Styela clava: one gene and its partner. The protein of the gene in region 1 binds, or shares a complex with, the protein of each later gene. Links are inferred from orthologs where the notes say so. Each region holds a gene or a part of one and is shown in the gene's direction. Other genes may lie near its edges.

The links.
Region 2: the proteins of GTP-binding nuclear protein Ran-like (region 1) and nuclear pore complex protein Nup50-like are in contact, whole or in part, in a crystal structure (PDB 7MO0), measured with the Homo sapiens proteins. The link is inferred for Styela clava from reciprocal best matches to the Homo sapiens genes RAN and NUP50. Residues at the interface, in NP_006316.1 of Homo sapiens: Arg29, His30, Thr32, Gly33, Glu34, Phe35, Glu36, Phe52, Val124, Asp125, Ile126, Lys127, Ser153, Asn154, Tyr155, Phe157, Glu158, Phe176, Ala178, Pro180, Ala181, Leu182, Ala183, Pro184, Glu186, Val187, Asp190, Pro191, Ala194, Tyr197; in NP_009103.2 of Homo sapiens: Pro344, Pro345, Lys346, Val347, Val352, Lys362, Cys363, Lys364, Phe366, Tyr367, Lys368, Asn371, Glu372, Phe373, Lys374, Glu375, Lys376, Gly377, Ile378, Lys384, Lys390, Gln392, Leu394, Arg396, Thr399, Asn400, Leu401, Asn403, Ile404, Leu405.

Annotation. Positions count from the first base shown.
Region 1 is NC_135252.1:24,002,113-24,012,743, reverse strand, and holds GTP-binding nuclear protein Ran-like, read left to right. Parts: upstream 1-5,244; 5' UTR 5,245-5,309; coding exon 5,310-5,379; intron 5,380-7,013; coding exon 7,014-7,195; intron 7,196-8,538; coding exon 8,539-8,661; intron 8,662-9,326; coding exon 9,327-9,605; 3' UTR 9,606-10,179; downstream 10,180-10,631. UniProt on the Homo sapiens protein: GTPase involved in nucleocytoplasmic transport, participating both to the import and the export from the nucleus of proteins and RNAs. Switches between a cytoplasmic GDP- and a nuclear GTP-bound state by nucleotide exchange and GTP hydrolysis.
Region 2 is NC_135252.1:2,759,586-2,770,216, reverse strand, and holds the start of nuclear pore complex protein Nup50-like, read left to right. Parts: upstream 1-3,849; 5' UTR 3,850-3,951; coding exon 3,952-4,122; intron 4,123-5,404; exon of another isoform or gene 5,405-5,864; intron 5,865-6,655; exon of another isoform or gene 6,656-8,264; intron 8,265-8,698; coding exon 8,699-8,927; intron 8,928-9,260; coding exon 9,261-9,385; intron 9,386-9,603; coding exon 9,604-9,716; intron 9,717-10,042; coding exon 10,043-10,370; intron 10,371-10,452; coding exon 10,453-10,532; intron 10,533-10,623; coding exon 10,624-10,631. UniProt on the Homo sapiens protein: Component of the nuclear pore complex that has a direct role in nuclear protein import. Actively displaces NLSs from importin-alpha, and facilitates disassembly of the importin-alpha:beta-cargo complex and importin recycling.

The DNA of each region.
Region 1 (10,631 bases):
TTAATCTCAGTGGTTATTTCTCGAGTTTGTTAAGTCGCTTTTAAATGCAGCCGACAAAAATAAAACTCAGATAGTTTTCCTTCTGTATCTACACGTTTGTCATCTCAGCAACTTGGGGAAAATTATCCCTTCTGGATTTACTCCTCCCCGCAGGGCTCCCGCTCCGATATGCAACGGTTACTGGCTCATATTGACCACACAATGGGATTCTAACACTGCATGGCTTCACCACTAAAGTCAATACACTCGATACCATTTCTGAAAACCGGTCACAAAAGTTCAGCCAGCCTCAACCACCGCATACATATCATTTTTCTTCACCAACGGGGGACAATTGCATTCCCCAAACTCTGCTGCAACTTGGAACGCACAGTCTTTCCACTACTGGACATTTTTGCCCGCCATATCGAGCTCACTTGAACGAAACCCGAGTGCACAATCGTGTTCAAACTTGCCCAGACATTGCTCTGCTCCTCTCCGAAAACCTGGGCATGGCCCACTTGAAACAGCGTTGCTTAAATTAATGAAACGACATTGAATAAGGGTACACAGTGATGGGATTCAGCCGGTTCTATAGAACCGTCTCGCGGAATTTTATAAGATCAGCGTACCGGTTAGCAGTACTGGTTTATTTTCTAAAAAAATATGACTTTTTGTAACAGAACCGGCCAAAAAATATGACGTTTGTGATGGAACCGGCTGACAAAAAATTTGAATCCAACCACTGGGTAAACATAACAGTTTATAAACATAAAAATTTATAGACACACAATATAAACACGGACATTATGGTCCGTGACCAGTGGTGGGTTTCAGCCGGTTCGCACCGGTTCTATTGAACCGTCTCAAGGAATTTTATGAGATCAGCAAACCGGTTAGCATGACTGGTTACTGTCAATGTTATGTTTGTAACAAAATCGGCTGAAAAATATGACTTTTGTGAAGGAACCGGCTGACAAAAAAATTTGAATTCCACTACTGGCTGTGACACAGGGTAATCAAAGGTGCGATGACGAGCGTGTTCCTTACGCTCAGCACGATGCGCCACACCGCTGAGTTTATCTAACGCTGCATGACTACGTGACAAGAAATCAGCAAAGGAATGAGGTAATCACAATACCCGAAAAATTTGGAAATGGGTTAAATACATTTCGGTACATCAATATATTTGAGGCACCACAATTCTACCGCAATACATGGTTTTGGCGAAGTTCTTTAAAATTAAATATACACTACAGGCATTCACTCGCGCCTTGGTGGAAAATACCCGGTACCATTCTTTATCAAAACCAGTTTCTAGCTAGTCGAAGTTCTGTGTGATCTGGCTTTTACAAGGAATTTGCTTGTTTATTTCTGGTTGTCAGTTTCCCCTGTTCGGTACAATTTCAAAAGTACTAAAGATATAAACCGGTGCCATCCTGTTACCGCTCAATAAATTTATTTTCGTTTTGTTTGATTCTGTTTCTTTGGTTTAGTTAAATAGGAAAGGATAGGATTTAGGATAGGATTTACATATTTATCCCGGGGGAGAGGAAAGCCGATAAGACGGCTTATCCATATGGCGAACCACGGCCTCTCGTCCGGTTACCATTCCAAGTCGGGTATGGGATTAGTTTTACTGTATTGTTTTTTTTTTTCGGAAGCATGGACTTGGTGGTGGAGGAAGCCGTAACCGACCAGCGGTTACGTGAACCACCCAACGACGGCGAGGAGTCCAGCAATCCTCTCGCACATAACCATCCCTGCATGGGATTCGAACCTGCGAACCCACGCAGAGTAATTAGAGGTGCGGTGGCGAGCGTATTCCTAACGCTTAGCCCGTTGAGCCACACCGCCGCGCGGAACAATAACCTAGCCTAAGATAAACTGAATCAAATAGGACATACTGAATAATTGGGGGTGAGGCAATTGGAGGGCAGTACAGTATCTATAAAACTTTTACCGCTAGGGATAATCTGAGGAAACGGGCAGATTATCGTAAAGTCGTTGTCAAATTAGATAATAGAATCTTGAGCGTCGCCGCTCGATAGACAGCTTTGCATCTCCGCGGGTTCCCTTCCCCAATAAAAGTGTGTACAGTACTTATCATTTCCCTCGTAAATTGTGTGAGATTAATTTCAGATCGGGGAAACTGTGATTAAGGCGCCTTGTTGGCTTTCCCTGGTTAAATAGGACAATTGTATCCTATTCAAACTAGTTTTAGATTTTACCGCTTTAGTACCAGAATTGAGTATTTCCATTCATGTTCAAGTTTATTTTTTTATCCAGTAAAAAATACAAATTACGTTATTCAAGGATAAAAAGCCAATTTTCAATCTTATATTAACATTTTATTGCTACGGTACAAGAGCAATGATTACCGATGTTGTATCCTAGCAAATAACACTTACATAATCTCACGAATGAACTCAGAAACGAGCGATATGCTTGAGTAAACAAACGAGGCAATGGAAAATTTTCAAAACTAAACCACGTGCTGTGACGTCATCGGCGCGAAAGGACGGTCTCGTCTCGATCTGGACGGTTGTTAGTTTCTGGAGGTGAGATTTCGAAATTTTATTTTCATTTAGAAAAAGATGTTTTGTATTTGTGGAGGGGGGAGATAAATACGATGTGACGGCTTAAAATATACGGGTTTTTATAGATTTACCAGTCCATGTCAATTATGGGAATATTTTGGCGCCAAATCGTTTCAGGTCCGCTTACTTTTGCGTTTGATTTCGCGTATTCAGGACATCCGCGGCTGGATTTGATTAATTTACTATTATTTTTTTTGCCAACTGCCGCTACCTCCTATATTCAGTCTTATGATGATAAAGTTTGTTTGCATATTTTATAAAGCTTAGGTACCGTGCAGTCAGACAGTAGTAGGATATCATATTTGCCCCTCCACAATCTGACATTTCTGTTTACAGGTTTAGTCATATCGGATCGGGACACTCAGACATTACAGCATTAGGATAAGTTATGCTATTGCCACACATTTCTCTCTTTATATTGTTCTATAAACAAATCATCCCAATCTTAGGTGATTCATTTTTATGACCTGTTACATTTGTTATGCCTGTATGCTGAAGACGGATCTGTATTGGACTTGGAAACAGAATAGACTACTGGACTACAAGAAACAGTTTAGAAAGTGAGCTAATACAGTAATAAATCCAGTATGCACACTTTAGGATCGAGAGACATTGTCTCGTTTTCAAAGAATCCCATTTTGCCAATGAACTCCTTCCAGCCTTCCTTTTTGGGGACATCTGGACATTGTTGACCCTCAATACAGCAATATCGGCAAAAATACAGTAAAATGAAGTTAGGCAATAGACTACAAAGAAGCGTGATCCAAACACGTCATCATCGAATTCGATTTATCGAAGGAAAAAATTTTTTACCGTGGCATTCGAGAGTTTTTATAAAAAAATGGCAATTTTGATCACATGATGGCCGCGATTAATTTAGATTATTATCGCGACAAGCATGGTGCGATATGACGCATCTGGCGTTGTGCCAGACAACTCTCGTTTGTGAGACACAGGAGTGTTTGGGACATTTCTAGAATTTGAAAAGTATGCCCTACTGCTGTACTGAAATCCAATGGTGATGTTTTTAGATTGCCCTTGCTTTTAGTTTATTGCACAGTGCCAATTTGTCGCTTTAAGCTGATTATGGACATCCAGACTGGGAGTCGCAGTTCTTACCACTTCTTGACAGCTCCTGCCACGAACGAACCGCGACGACTCTTGCCATGGTTTATGGCGCTATCACAGTATTATCGGTATATTCACAAAGTCATGTACCAGATTTACGTTTATCATGCGAAAATATATCTACTTAAACCTGAAACCTAAACCCCAAATACATCTAAACTGTATCTATAAAAAATGTTCCAACTTACGCAATATAAGTCACCATCAGGGCAGCCTTGTCCTAACCATTCAGGTGTATATAACTAACGGCCGACCTGCCGTGGTTTTCAATTTGCAGCCGCGGTAACGGCAGCTCGCCATTGGTTTGTGGCAGTTGGTCGCCGTGAGTTTGGCCATAGTGGCCGTGGTTTGGAAATACCGCTATGGTTTGCGGCAGCTCCAGACGCCGAGAAATGCTTAAAACTGCACTTGAAGACTGGAGGGGCTTGCACTCACTGTTATATTTATTGCCTTTTAATGTGGAGCTATCCTTAGAATGTTCATTTTCTTCAAGTCAGGGCCGTGAAGTCTGATGTACTCGAGACTGAGCAGACTTCCTAATTTCTCAAATTTGAAAGTCCAAGTCTCTATTACCGACTTTCAATGTAGATGGAAAATGGCTGCATTTCCAACAGAAAACTAAGAACAAAGTTTGCCAAGCGCTCTGTGCAGTTTTTGTCTTCAAATCTCAATTTTCTAGGATTTCGGAGTTGATTTCAAATTTTTTACAGGCTGTCAAATCTTTTCTTAACCCACTGTCTGGCAGTACGGCACACTATACAGATTGAGCGACATTGTCTTGTTTCAGAGAAACCCATTTTACCGGTGATCAGACACCCCTCCCCTTTGGGAGACGTCTGGACATTGTTGTCCCTCAATATCGGTGAAAATACAGTATAACGAAGTTGCGCAAAATACTACAAAGAAGCGCAATCTAAATACGTCATCATTGAAGTCCTCGGGAAAAAATAATCCGATTTAACGAAGGAAATTTTTCTTTCATGGCATTTGAGAGATTTTAGAAAAAAACGGCAATTTTGGTCATGTGATGGCCACATTAATTTAGCTATGGCGCGATATGATGCATCTACCTTTGTGCCAGACGCTCCTTGTTTGTGAGACACATAGAGTGTTTGTTTTATCGAACCAAATGAAGGGAAATTCTCGGAATTTGGATAGTGTGTCGTACTGTCTGGAAGTAAATTTCCAGACACCATAATCCTGATACAAATATTCTATTCGCTTTGGATATCTCAGTAGGGCACAGTTTGCAGATTCCAAAATGTCCCAACGTTTGGTTCAATAAAACACTCAATATGTCTCTGAAACATCTGGCATGCAGCAGGTGCATTAGTTCGCACCATGCTTGTCTCAATAATAATCTTAAGTAATCGCAACGAGTGCAGACGCCAAGTGACCTAAATTGCGTTTACTCTCACATAAAGGAGGGAGGTTGCACTCGCTGTTATAATTGATGTCTTTTAATATAGAATCGGAGAATCATGCTATACTGTATATTGACCAGTTTTCTGATCACAAATTTATATTTCTTCTTTAGAAATTAGATATTTTGCTTAGTTAATTTGGCAATTACGGTAGAATTTGTTTGGGAAAACATAAAATATGGCACAGCAACAAGCAGACAGCGACATCCCTCGTTTCAAATTGGTACTTGTTGGTGATGGAGGTGTAGGTAAGTCATATAGGTAGATAAAAAAAAAGTTTCTTACATTTTGAATATTTTTAGGCTGACTATTATTCCCTGAAAAATAGAACTCGCGCAAATGCAGTTTTAGGGGACCGGTCGCTTCAGCTGCTGTGGAGGCTGTCGTGTTTGCGCAGATATCAAATACATTTCAAAGTTGAAAGATCAGGAAAAAATGATTTTTGACTGTTACGGATTTCATGGGAGAAGTTAAGTTCCTTATATTCTTCAAGGCTCAGAATGTCTTGGCATGAACAATTGAAAAGCTTTTCATGATGCTCTTTCATGTCTATTGCTATGAACACGGCCCTCTACAGGCAGGGAGCCACTGATATCTACTACAGGGACAGTGACTCCTCTACAGCCCATGGGCCGGGGCCACGGCCCATCTAATTGGGCCACGTGGGCCGTGGCCCATCAAGCTATGGGCCGCGGCATCATCAGTATATATCAATTGTCTTAACAAAATAGTCCAGTAGTATGTGTACCAGGTTAAGGTTGGGACAAATTTTCGTTCAAGTTTTTCACATTATAGTTCTATTTTGAGTTCGGGGACTGTCTGTGTTAGCCAAGTGAATAGTCCTTTTACACAACTTATTCGATGGGCTGGGCCCCGGCCCATTGGCCATAGAGGAGTCACCACTTCCCCTCGATATCTGAGGATATGTGGAAAGATTGGAATCTTTCTTGATTTTAGGAATAGTCTTTATTTGGAAAATCATTGTCTAAGTGAGGAAGCTTACAGCCAAACCAAAAAAATAACAATGGAATTGTTGAATATGAACTACCGGTAATTTAATGACCTGGCCCGAGTGCAGTGATACGTTTGTCAACAATGCGCGAGGCTTGATGCAGTGATTGTATATTTTTTTAATGGGAATGAAGCATTTCGTTATTAATATATGTTAAATTATTTGTAATTTTACTCAACGAAAGTAGAGGCAAACTTAAAAATTTCAATGCAAACAAAACAACTCGGGCTTGATTTTTAACGTGTAAATACGGTAGAAAACGTATATGGATTGGACGCCGGGTAATTCAGCAGTAAAGCGAAACTAAAGAAAGCAAAAAGTACATTTTTACTATAGCGGAATATTTATTCACAGCGATCGGGCCTCTCGCTTTGTTGATGTCATATCTTCAGCCTCATGGGCCGAAACGTGTGTATGCCACATTCCACATAGAATACAGTCAATATTCGGTACTCCCGTTCCCGTAGTATGGGAACCAAGATGGCGGACACCGGAATGTAGTATGTGTACCAGGTTAGGGTTAGGCCATAATTTCAGGTACAAATACTACGGAACTTCCCAAACTCGTAATAAAACTAAAATTGGAAAAGAATTATGGCCTAACCCTAACCTGGTACACATACTACGTTCCGGTGTCTGCCATCTTGGTGCACATACTACAGGAGCGCCCAAGATTCAAAAATATTATTTTAAAATGTGTTCTGTGTGTATTAGGTTTTATTTGTTTTGCCTTCTTTGGTAATGGGTGTTTTATTTGTTTTGCCTTCTTTGGTAATGGGTAGGGGTTCAATTTCCCACTATAAATTGCAATTTTTTTTATTGTTGTGAATTTCCATATGTTAAATAATTTATTGAAAAAATTTTTTTTAGGCAAGACAACGTTCGTCAAGCGACATCTTACTGGAGAGTTTGAAAAGAAATATGTGGCAACCCTCGGAGTAGAAGTCCATCCGTTAAGTTTTCATACAAATCGTGGAAAAATTATTTTTGATGTCTGGGACACAGCTGGACAAGAAAAATTTGGAGGCTTGAGAGACGGATATTATATTAGAGTAAGTTAAAGTTTCTGAACCCGAGAAAAATTTCTTCCCGCGGGGGGTCGGTTTTGAAGTTTTTGGGAAGGGAATTTTACTTTGTACTTGCGTGTTGACTTAGGGATGCATGCCACTTTTGGATTTATGGATCGATTCGAATCGCATCTTTTGCGAATCAGATTTACGCGACTTGGTAACAGAGAGCGATTTACCGAAAAATAAAAAGATTGAATGTTTGTTTATCTTTGTTTTCGGCGGCATTTAAATTTGCCGAATGCGTTTATGCGGCACTCCAAATAACACCAATTGAGCAAACATAGGCGTGCAATAAGAAAAAAAAAAGCTTAATGGAATCAGATTCGATTCGATTCGAAAAAAAGTGTATCCAGAACTGGCAACCCTACGTGTGGTATCATTTATATTTATACTTAACATGAAACTCAAAAAAAAAGTTACTTTTTGTAAGTGGTCAGCTCATACGCGCATAACTCTGATCGCACTCAATCAAACGAAATGACATTAACCTAATCCAATTCGAACCATGCTTGAACTTGATCACTTGTGTGATTTGTAGGGTCGGCTTATATGCATATTTTTAGAAATTGACCATTTCGGGGCCGTTTTTAGGGGTTTTATATAGTATTTAGTATTATTGTAATGAATATGAATATGCATACATTAACTTATATTTCGTTAACAAAAGCCAGAGTTTGAGTTGCACGCATTGCAAACCAAACGTAAATCAAGAATAAGAAATGCAAATTTTTATGCAAAGTGGGAAAAGACTTGGGAGCTTAAAAGTTGGCCCAGAGAGAAACGGGTCAATAAAGGTGTAGATGGAGTTATTTAAACTATTTCTGGCATTTTTTTTGGGGGGGGGGCTGATTTGATTTGTCTGGGATTGTTGAGTCAGGAGATGAGTTGGGCGCATTCTGGCTGGAGTAGTATTTTCAAACTTTTCAAACCCAGAGTTGTGCGTTAAAATTCTGAATTCTCGGAGTATGTGTCGGGATTTCAGACATTTGATAGTGATGAATTCAAAATAAAATGGATCTTTTAAAGCGTCTTATACTCTTAATTAACAGTTTATCAAAGAAGGCTTGCACTCACAAAATATTTTGTTATCAAGCCTATGTCAAAATTGTGAGGTTTTCCAATGCAAGGAACCCAGGATGGCAAATACTATTAGGGAGAATAAAATTGAATTGAATAAAACGGAATGTCAGTTTTCAGGGGGTATTTAATGGTTTTGGCCTGTTTTTATGAGTTTTTTTCAAGTTTGGGATGGTTTTTGCATGTTTAACGAATTTTTTGTTTAAAAGTCTTTTTACAGTTCATAACTTTATTTTCTCGATTGACAGGGTCAATGTGCGATTATTATGTTTGACGTGACGTCCCGTATTACGTACAAGAACGTACCTAACTGGCATCGCGATCTGGTTCGAGTTTGTGAGAATATTCCCATCGTGATGGTTGGAAATAAGGTAGGCCACTTGATTTTTATTACTGCACTGCTTTGATCGGGTTTTTATCCATACCCAGGGCACATTAGGCTATAAGGTGCAACGGTTTTTGATGCAATATCGCTGTTGGTATTTTAGTGTAGGTAATAAAGCATGGAGTTCTACCTGAATGATACATTAGGCAAATTTTTGGAAAGAAAAGTACGCCTAAGGATTTGAAATTCGCCTAGTGCCCCATTATGCCAATATTTTTTTGGGTACTCCCGCCGAAGTATGTGAACCAAGATGGCGGACACTGGAACGTAGTACGTGTACCAGGTTAGGTCATAATTTTATTCCAATTTTCCTATTTTAGTTCTAATACATTTTAATGGTGTCAAGACAAAAATACGGATGTTGAAATTTGAAAAAAAACTCGTTTAAAAAATTAAAAAGAAGTAATAGGTGCCTTCAAGCTAATATCTAATCATAGTTTGAACTTGATGATGAAGTAAGCCGTAGCTGACCTGATGTTACATGAACTACCTCAAGACAGTGAGGTGTCGAGCAATCCTCTCGCATGTAATTCTCTCTCACAGGTTTTGTAGTGCCGAATCCATGCAGGGTAATCAGAGGTGCGAGCGTATTTCTAACTCTCAGCACTAGATTACCGCCGAGCTGATCTTTTTCCATTTATTTTTACTCAGGTCGACATTAAAGATCGCAAAGTGAAAGCAAAGGCAATCGTTTTCCATCGAAAAAAGAATTTGCAGTACTATGATGTTTCGGCCAAGTCCAATTACAATTTTGAAAAACCGTTTCTTTGGTTGGCACGAAAATTATGCGGAGACGCCAACCTCGAATTTGCGGAAATGCCTGCTCTGCAACCACCAGAGGTCAGCGTAGATCAAGAAATGATTAAAAAATGGGACGCGGAACTTGCTCAGGCTGCCAATGCACCTTTACCAGAGGAAGAGGATGATTAATTTAAAAAAATCCCCCTCCCACCTTTTGAAAAAAAATATACTCAATCTTATGTATGGTCGAAGTGTTGCCACTCTCAGCCTTTCTTTGATGGCAATAAACTCGGCAGAATTTTATGGTCATTACTCCCACCGGAAATACTCTCTTGTGCCTCTTTGTGTATAGTCTCGGCAGTATTTTGTGTTATTTCACCCCACTGGAAAAAATACTCTCTACTGCCTGCTTGTGTATAGTTTCGGTAGCATTTTGTGTTCTTCCGCCCCACTGGTGAAAAATCTCTCTACTGCCTCCTTGTTTATAGTTTCGGCAGCATTTTGTGTTCTTTGCCCCCACTGAAAGAACTCTCTACTGCCTTCTTATGTTTGGTCTCTGCAAAATTTTGTGTTCTCCCACTGGGAAAAAACCCTCTACTGCCCTCCTATGTTTCTCTCCCACTAGAAAAACTCTCTATCACCCCTCGTGTTTAGTTTCTTTTTGCATCTCCACTGCCCTCTAGCATATAATCTCCCTTTTTTATTAGCCCATGCTAGCTCATCTTGTTTTCATGAAAGATAGCGAAATTTTGTTGTTTTACTAGTTTCACATTGCTATAGCAGTACTACTGGGTAGTTTTTTAAGGAATTTGGGTTTCTATCGGCTACTTAATAGTTCTCACTAGTCTAGCGTCTCTAACTTTGCTCTGTTTTGGAGATTTAAAAATGTAAATTAAATCCAGATTGAATGATTTTTCTAATTTTTAGAAAAATATGTTGAATTATTGCTAAATTTAATATTTTTTGGGGATTTGGAATTACATCGATTCTCTGAAAGTCTGGTGTCGCCTCTCAGTGTGCTACAATCAGTGTAAATTTTTTTGACCCAATAGAGTAGGATATTTCCAGTCTGTGAGAAATTTAATTCCAGCTGCTATACTAATCATCCGTAGGAAATTAAATATTCTATTTTCTTTTGAAACATTGCCAACTGAACCATTTGCACCATACCAGGTCTGTGCTGTTTTGGGATATTTGAAAAATTGGAAAAACTTA
Region 2 (10,631 bases), about 21 Mb from region 1:
ATACTATCTCCAAATTTCTTCACCTGACACAAACTTAAATTCTCCTAATTGAGGCATCAATTACACCAACATGTGTTTAATCCAGATTGCGTTAAAATCTAAAAGTTCGTTGTCAAAATAAGAAGGATTAACATTGGAAATTTTAGTACGACTGGTCCACCATAGCGAAAAATACGTTGAAAGTAAAATACAAAATTAATGAAATATACAACTTGTGGACTGGTTCAATACCAATGAATTGTAACATATATATTTTTTAAGTCCTTATGTTCCAAGATCTTAAACATTTGGTGTGATTCAGGCAGCATTCGGTGACTGCATTTTACTTGCCATGTGTGCGTAAAGTTCCATTGATCTCGATTGGAAAAGAAATATAATATTTGCTTTTATATAAAACATCATGCCTTCCCATGTAGTCTGGTATGCGGCTACCTTCGATCTGTTGTCTTAGCAAGTTCTAGACTAATTCCGATTTGCTATTTTGTGTTTCACGTAAAGCTCATGGACCGTCTAAAATGTTTCTGTAAAACTTTGTTTTATCACCATAATTCTACGGTATCAAAGTTTCAGTATCTGTTAGCATTTCAGTGGTCGCCTGAAAGAGATGAGTCTGCTTCACTTCTGAGTAAGAACGAAAGGCCCAGCTTTAATGTTCGATTTCGATACGATATATTATATACGATACATGACACGCATGTAATATACTTAATGTGCTTAACCGTATTCGGGTTACAATTTTTAGAACATTCTTCCATTTACTACTTCTGCTCCTGTATACATGTAATCTATACCCGTGTAATCTATACATGGAGGCTTGGCCAGTTAAAGTTAGCGTTGTGATGATCAGGTGACAAGATTTTTGCGATTCCAAACCACAACTATCTCATGAAATAGCCAAAGCAGAAGATATAGGCATATCAGATAATATACGAATAGGTGGCATCGTTATCAGAAACTTTCCCCGGGCAACAGAACCGTATGCAGTATGGGATCAGATGTGCGTATGTGCCAATTTTCAAGGTGGAAATATCTATGAGTGCAAATTTTGGTGGGTACAAAAGTATACAGGTGCGATTTACGTGAGTAAATAAATTTACATGGGTGCAAATGTGCCGTCACCTGATATACTTTTCGAGAGTTCGCCCTTATTATTTACCTGAGTCAATTTCATCATTTTATTGAAGCCGGAATGGCATTGAATATTAATCTTATCCCTTATGCTTATAGTGTTGAATAAGACGGGCTTTATAGCAGCTAACAATTGTTCATTGAAGTTTCGGATAAACTAATAACATACAATAATATTGACATACATACAACAATAAAGTAGCAAATATCGTGTTAACATCGCAGAAAGACGGAATATTGTATTATGTTATTTGCCGTGACACTGTCCTGTACACTTGTTTTTATGATGACAAATACCCTCCATAATGTGTTTTCTGCGTGTGATAGTTGCGAAAAGGAGGAGAGAGAATTTATTTTTAATTTATAGATAATTTCGTCAATATTTTTTCGTCAAACCAGAAAGCACATAATAAATAAGAATAAAATACGAGAATTAAAAGTTTTCGATGACCATTCGAAATATGTATGAAAGTCGGATTTTCACTATTGAAAAGAATAACCACTTTCCTTTCAAAGTCTGAAAGCTCTTTCCTGCCTTCCTCCACAATATGGGTTTCAAAATAGAAATCGAATAAAACCTGACCAGTATGGATGTTTCCTTCACCCCTGGAAGATTCTCCCTATATTCACGTTGTTATTGCCAAATATTCAGCTCTGATTTTGCGAGTGGTTTGGAGAGTTGGCGCTCACAAACTCGCTCACATGTTCAAATCTATCATTTCTATTCAAACATAACAAACTTATTGCTGATTTGTAATTGTTACGGAAATAAACAAGAAATGATGCTCGGGGTAACATTCATCAACCTGAAATAAATAAAAACGTATCGAAAAAGAAACGAGAATATCGGTCAGAGACCGAAGACTTATCGATCGAAAGTTAGGGTACCCCCAAAACAGCGCTCTTACTTCATAGTGACGCCTTGCGTCCCATCACTAATTAATTAATAACTCGCAAATTATACGACATAATTCATCCAAAATCAATAGGCTTCTGGTACGACATATGATGAATGCACATGCAAAATCTGGTGCAGATTCAATCTCGCTTTTGTGAGATATCGCGTGCATCTAACAGACAGACATACAGACAAACAAATACCTATCAACATACTTACCTATTAAAATCGATACGTAATGAGTTAGCACGCATTTTATTCGTAATCTCATCTGACCTTCAAATTTCCTGCTTTTCTAGCGACCACCCTGGCAGGGGTCGGCAACCTTTTGTCGCGCGCTCGCTATTTTCAGAAAGTTGAAAAAACGAACGAATGATACTTTTCACGATAAAAAATGAAATCAAGAAGGAATACATTTCTCGAATTGAATATAGATTGATTTCATCATTGCATTGCATCCGAAAAAATTTCATTCGAATATTTTCAGCGCCATTGAACCCTTTGCACTTAGCATCAACTTTGCGTTTTGTTGCCATTCGTCTATAAGCTCATTAAACGAGGTTTTGTGGAATATATACTTGTTAGGGTATAATATAATTTAGTTTAGCCTACACGTGTCTCACAATAAATTCTGTTACGTAAAAAATATAACCGTCATAACAGCCGTTTTGTTACTTAAATTCAGTGAAGCGTCGAGGGCTGGATTATTATTACTCCACGGGCCGGATCTGTTTTGAAATTTGAAGCAAAATTTAGTAAACTAGTGTTTACTTGGGCAGTACAATTGTTAGGTTGCAATCATACGCACATCCCAGTTAAGTCATAGATAACGTTACACACCAGGGAAGTCATAGATAAAACATCCACCATGTAAATGTAAGCGGTACCATGCGTAAAAATTAAGCGTGCAATATTATGAAATGTCTAATCATGGTTTGGCAAGGAAGAAAACTGTGAATATATTTTTACAATACTGTATATTATAATACGATATTCTACACAATTTAGAGATGTAGGTTTTAAAATTTTGATAAAAATGAAAATATTGGTAGATTAAAGAGTATACGGTTGGACATGTACATGGCACAAATATTTTCAAACTGGGGAGAACCAGGTATAAATACACTCTTATACATGACATATCCACACCAGTATCCATTTGAAAATAGATTTGCCTTCATAATTAATATTTGGATATGATTTGTTTCATGAACTCAGATTTAAATTTTTTATAAGAGAAGGTTTTGAAAATGTCAGGAATATCATTTCAAATTTTGAGCCCAATGATTCTGATTAAATATTGAGCTAAATTTGAGTTTATTCGAGGATTGAAAAACGCTCCTTTGGAAGCAGAACGAATGCCATGTGAATGCACAGAACCACAGTCGGTAAAAATACGAATTGAAGGCTTTAGTTTATTGCTAACATTACAAAGATATAGTTTTGTTGAAAAATTAAATTTTTCATTTATCACAATACAAATTTTCTTCAATCAATGCCGATTTTTTTCTATTTATATTTAAATTTATTATTACAATAAACGCGTCCCGAAGTTATTTTGTGGCAAGAATTTTGAAGAATCATTCCTCAACCACGCATTCACAGGTAGTGTTACTTTTAATTTAAACTATATATTTACTTTATCCTACTCTAATATTTACAAATAGGCCTAACGTTATATGAAACTAAGACTTACAAAATATAAAATGAATTTATTCTTTTATTGTCCCGATAGTGATTTCGAACTTTTTTAGATGCCTCGATATTCTCGTGGCATATGCCTCCACTAGAAGCCAGATGTGCCTCATATATGTGCCTTATTGAAGATACAGTATTTCGTTCCTCAGCAGGGTTATTTTGGTCACTTGCACGTTACTTGCTCAATTCTGCGATTCGTGAATGAGTGAACTAGGTCTAGCGCCACGATGTCGAAGCGTGTCGCTGATAAATACTTAACAGACCAAAATTGGGACAAGGAAGATGAGGTTGATGATGACGATAACTCTGGAACATTCAAGACAGCGGATAATGATGTTTTGCAAACCCGTGTTATTCGAAAAGCAAAGCGTAGGATTGTTGGTAGCAGTCAACAATCGGTGAGTGTTGCAAATAACAGAATAATTACTAAATGGTGTTGTGTTGTATAGTTATGCTAAACCAGGATAACATAATAATTCAGTAGACTAATTTTATCATTTTACTCTATTATAGCCTAGTTTAAGGGTGGAGATCAAAAACCTCACTTAACTTAAACTTGGATTAAGACTAATCTCGGGTTAGTTAAACTCGGTTTAACTTCGATAGTTAACCGGTGATCAAAAACCTAGTTTAGCGGTTACTTAACTAATCGTGGTTTAAGTCCGACGCCACGAGGCATTTCATTAAAACGTCGTGGCATGTTGCTCTTTGACCCCGTATTCCCATGGCGATGACAACGCGAACCCAATTTTGTTGTAATTTGCTGTCTTTGCAAAGTCGGTTTTTGATGTATTTCGTTGATATTGCCGAAGCAAAACAATCTGGGCGGTAGAACTACGAAGAGCTGACGCGCATCACACGAAATATCGAAATAATAACACTTTATCATAAATAGAATTCTTCCCACTACTGGTACAGTCTACAACTACAACAGGGTCGGCTAACCATTTTGGTCTAAGGGCCACATGTAATTCATTAATAATTGCGCGGGCCAATTGACATGTTAGTTATGATCTAGTTTTGCTACACTACTACAGGTTAATAATAAAAAAATACCCTCACATCGATTTTTCACAATTATTAGAACAATAAAACTGTTGTTTTCCAAACATTGACGGGTCATCATCAGTGGTTATTCCCGAAAGTTTAGCCAAAGACAAGACGCTTAATCATTTTTATCACAGCTGTCGAACAAATCAATGCTTCTAGTCAAACCCTTAACAGGGGCAATGGCTGCGGTCTCCACGGTAATTTTATATCATCATTAACTACCCGCAAAAAGATAGCAAGTCACCAACTGAGCAGTAAACTTAATGTCAGCGCTTCCTCAAGCGCCAAGGAATACAATAAAAAATATCCCGCTTTTGCGATTAAAATTCTCGCGATAGAATTCCCAAGCTCTTCAACAAGACGAGTTATGGTCTGTCTTGACAGGCTATTTTTGCAAACACCTAGAAATGCTTCTACATATGGCCCGATGGCCACGAGTTGGACGACCCTGGTCTACAACACCAATTGAATCTAACATTTTCTCCTAAACCTCAGCGTAACAACAAACAGACTTCAATTATAGAACCCACATCCTACTTAGAGTGAAAACAGACGAAATGAACACACTTCAGCTGAAAACCTATCCCTGGCAAGTTCTGGGCCACAGGCTTCTACATATTTAACATAATATTATTTTGAAAATTTGTATTGCAAAAATAACTAATATTCATTTGTTCAAATGACTGCTAAAATGTACTGACATTCAAGAAATGGAAAAAGTATAGAATCAATTCGGAAGAGGTGCTAAATTTTATCCTGGCTCTACAGCTTTGAGACAGATGCACACAGACACAGGTGCAATCATAGTTGTTGCTTTCGTTGCTATTTAAAAGTTTTATTTATTTCTTCTGCGAAAGACTCGCCAAGTGACGAAAAATCGACATAATTACTTTTGCTTCAAATGTTTTAGCATGCAAGAATAATTTGTTTGTTAAGCTTAAGTTAACCGGGTTCCACATATTTGTTGGACACAAAGGCGGGTTCCACATATTTGTTGGACACGAAGTCGTAAAATAAAGCACTGCTGCAATCTTGACTTGACAACACTTTTACTATAATCCTATCCATAACAGTTGTTTGTCTTCATGACCTGAACAGTATAAATGAAAATACAGGGTTAAAGATAGTATATTGATGAAGTGCGCTAGATATTAAAGAACCAAATTCGACCTAGGCAATGACTAAAACCGAATAATTTGTATTCGAATTTGTACAGATTTTTTTGTATTCTGAAATGATATTTTTGAATTACATAAAATCCAATGTATATTTAATTATATGAATTTGGAAAAGTAAAACAGTAGAGTATTTTTAGTTTTCAGATATTAAATGAAGGCTCTTTTGTCTTCGATTGTGATTGCATGTCGAACAACTTTGCTCTACTCTAAAATCATGTGACACTAGTTTTGCCTGCATGTAACAAGAAATGACTAATGGGAATGATTTTGAAAAGTTTGTCACATCTCGGTTACTTGAACATATCTGGGACAATACCAATAAGAAATTTACCTTGATGAAAGTATCCTCACAGGTTCCATTACATTTGAACCCACGTACATTTGAACCCATGACAATTGCACCTGTATGCTATTGCACCTATGGAATTTTTTTTGTTTCACGGATAGTTAAACCCATACTAACCCTAACCCATGGGTTTTAGCACCCGCATATAGATTGAACCCGTGGATAGACGCATGGGTTCAAATGTACATGGGTTCAAATGTACGGTCACCATCCTCACATTATACGAATAATACAGATTATACACACAAACTAAAAATAATTTTCATTTAACAGCTGATACTAAAGAAGCTGATACGAACGTGAATTTAGGACAGTTTACATACAAATAATATGACATTTAAATAGTGACAAACTCACAAATTTGCTCTACCAATAGAGCTGATGAAATTGATCATCATCATGGCACTCAGACAGTTTACTTGATTTGAAACAGCTGTAGAAATAAATGAAAAATCAGAAAACAATGTTACATTAAAGAAATGTTATGATAGCATGAACCTTTGCATTCATGATAAGTTATTGGCAATATATAGTTATCAATATACTCATTTCTGCAATCTAGCATTTGGTGAAATTCATGGTCACGGTACTTCAATATTCTAGTTTCATTTTATATAGCAAGAGTCAGAATCATTAATACCATAAATATCGTACATCTGTGCAAACAGCATACCAATAACATGCAATATGATTTTACATTGGTGTACATCAAAATATCCAGTCAACCTTCTGCTATCTACTTCGGGAACTTGCAGACTTGTGAATTAGCCGATGACAAGATACATACACCGGGGCACAGTGCAGTAGTGATACATGGATATCGTAGGTAAATCTTAGTTCTGCTCATACACAAAATATAATTAAAAGGAATCTTTTGGGCACTGGTAGATCTAAATATCTGAAAATATATCATTTTTGTTAAAACATTTTGAAGTTTATATTACTGTATTAGGACTAGGAGTATCTGTTCGACGGTACCACTGCGCAACTGCTTATCAACGAAACTGTACTAAAATACTGGGCCCTATGTCTGTTTATGACAAGAACCCATATAGCAATAGGCTACTGGTATAACTGTAGTCTACAATCTAAGTTAAAATAAATCTTCACAAAAACTGCTAAGAAAATTAAAAAACGCAAATAGCCTACAGAAATGTATCAATACGCTGGGTATGTATTTACCTTACTAGATTTATTATAGTATAGCCCCATTCCACGTTGTAAATAATTTTGTTCGGGCGTAGTACGGTAGGTACTAGGTACAGCACAGGTACCACCGCGAATGCTACATATCGCAGCCTCGTGGTACAGGTATACAATTATTTATTCGTCGTGACGCTTGTACAGAGCTCCCTGCTACTCCTTTTGTCGCCCCAGAATACAATATAGATTGTACGGTAAGCGATAACATCCAACACGACAAACGCCGCAATCCAAATGCACTGGACAAACCGAGTTAAACCACCTCCAGACCAGGTTTAAAAAATCGCCGATTTTAAGTCGAGATTTACGTCACAGAAAGTTAAACCACCTTTTTGATCCGGACCTAAACCGCCGATCCAAAGTTAAACTCTGATTCGAGGTTAAACTACCTTTTTGATCTCCACCCTAAGTATTGTTAAGCTTATTTCGACTTCATAATCAAGACGGCAAGATGACTTCATAATCAGACAATAAAATAATTTATAAAAACTTAGTCTCTAACTGTATAAATAAAAATTGATTACAGGTGAGCATGCAAACTGACAAAAACTAAAGTAAGGTTTATCGCAATGGGTCAAAACAAAAAAATTTGGCGACACTTGAGGGCCAGACCATCGAACAACCTATTAGTTTCTAGCAACTTGAAGTTGAGCTAACATTAGCAAAAAAAAGATTTCCGTGCTACTTTGGTATGCGATCTTAGTAGTGTGATTTTAGTTAGGGTTAGAAATCGAATTCGATGAGAATATCTTAATGAGATAAAACGCATGCCGAAGTGCCACCACAATTATTGCCACTTTGGTATACGATTGAGATCACATTAAGCAAGTGAGATGATATATCAAAGTGGCATCGAGATTACTTTTTGTATGGATAATTTTTCAAATTCCTATAAATAAAGCTTCCTAAAATAATAATAATGGATAATAAAGTCTTTAACGTGCCAAACATGTTCGACGGGCTGGATATTGCACTCCTCTGATTTAAAGCATACACTGATAGTCTTATACAGTATTTAAATTTGGAAGTGGTCCGTGGTCACCTAAAAGTGTTTAATTATTTCACGCATACATAATTATTATATCTCTCTCTATTTTATCGATTTCTTTTTAATATGTTTTATAGTCAGGTAGAGCATAGATTTTACTATATTCTTATTATGTCTGAATAAGATTTGTCAAATTGGATTTATTTCAGACAGCCTCGGCATTTTCTGGTTTTGGTGGATTGAAAGCCCCAACAAATAGTACCAAACCTTCGTTCGGTGGTTTCAATCTACCAACTTCTGGAAATGGAAGCAATGTTTCTCAAATGAAACCGTTTTCAATGTTTCAATCTACTGGATCCAGTGGATCAGCTGCAACTCAGCCAACTATTCAATCTTCATCAGGGGATAAATCATCTACTAGGACGTTAGAATCCAAAAGTAAATATTTTTTTTACTGAATATTCAGCACCCAAACTGTGAACAAGGCTATAAACCAGCATTCACAAGTCACAACCATGTAGAAGCTACTGTTTCATGAGGATTATGATATTTAGTTTGGTATACTGTCTGACTTTACTTAATATATTACACTTTAGATGTGCACTTGGAGTTTAAACTCGAAATCTTCAGCCTGTGACTTCAAACATATCTGGGCTAGCACGATTTGAAACTAATTCTTATTCAAAGGTCCCAAGTTTAATGCCTTTTTAATATTTTTCAGTGGTATTATAACAATGTTTTCATTTTATCTGAGCTTAATTTTGACTTTAGCCGCGGATAGTACAACTTCAAAAACTATTGAAATAAAGTCGAGTGATGATGATACAACACAAAACTCAAGAGAATACAACAGGCAGCTCAGTGCTTTGAATCGAAGTGTTAGTGAATGGATAAAGGTATCCTATCAATCGCAAAATATATTTTGTTAGGAGCAATTTTTATTTGAATGCTAGAATAGAAAATTTAGTTGTACAATTTAGTCAGTAACGAATCAATGTCTATTTTATAAAATTTTGTTGATCTGATCCATTATGAGCCACTCAGTTCCAATTGATTCATAAATGTGAAAATAGTTTGTTTCGAGAAGTTTTTGGTAACCTATTATTAATTTCAGAATCATGTGGAAAAGAATCCATTGTGCGATCTCACTCCTATTTTTCTGGATTATAAAAAATATTTATCTGAAATAGATGACAAGTATGGACATTCAGACAATGAAGGTTCATCGTAAGTAATGTACCCTTTATGGCTTATGCTATTCTTTGCTGAATTAATAAGAAATGCTTTACGGTTTTAAGTATGTTACATTAAATTTCGAACATTGTTTATAAATTACAGCAAAAACAAATTGGTAAAAGTTTTTGTGATCTCGGTCTGTTCAATAGTTAAAATCTCATAAAATTTCTTGCCATTATTTGGAGATGGACTTAATCGATTGAAAAAATAGTTCAATGCACTATTATTCCACATTTATTTAATACAATCACATTGATTATGTCTTTTGTACGAAAAATACCCTGCAGTAATTATTGATTGAACTATATTTCTTCCAGGCAAAATTCATTCCAAGTATCAGATTCACAAGAGACAGTTTCTCTAAAGTCTTCTCAAAATTCTTCTCTAACTTCAAGCGTTTCTGACAAACCAAAGTTTTCTCTGACTGGGTTTGGTAGCAAAACAGAAGAGCCAAAACCAATTGAAATTAACTCTAAAACTGATGCTCCAGTCAGTAAACCATTATTCTCGGGATTTCAAACTTCCACAACAACTTCTTCACCTTTCAAAGGATTTAATGTTTCAAAAACAACTGCATTTCCGGGATTTTCATTTAGTTCATCCATGGTCGGTTCAGGAGGCTCAACCAAGCAAGCGTCCGGGCAGGTAAATTCTGTTTGAGATCTAGTCAGTGTTTTTAGAATAAAATTGTTCTTATGGATGAGAGATATGTTGATTGTTTTTACAGGGTAAAGACGAAGAGGAATATGTTCCACCAAAACCCGAAAGTAATGTTGTTGCGGATCCAGAAGCTTTCTACTCTATCAGGTGCAGTTTTCGAAATGTTGTTGGGGGGCCTTATAGGGATAACAGCCTATCATAGAGTTAAATGAAGAAGTATTCCAATTCATTCCTACAGGTGCAAAC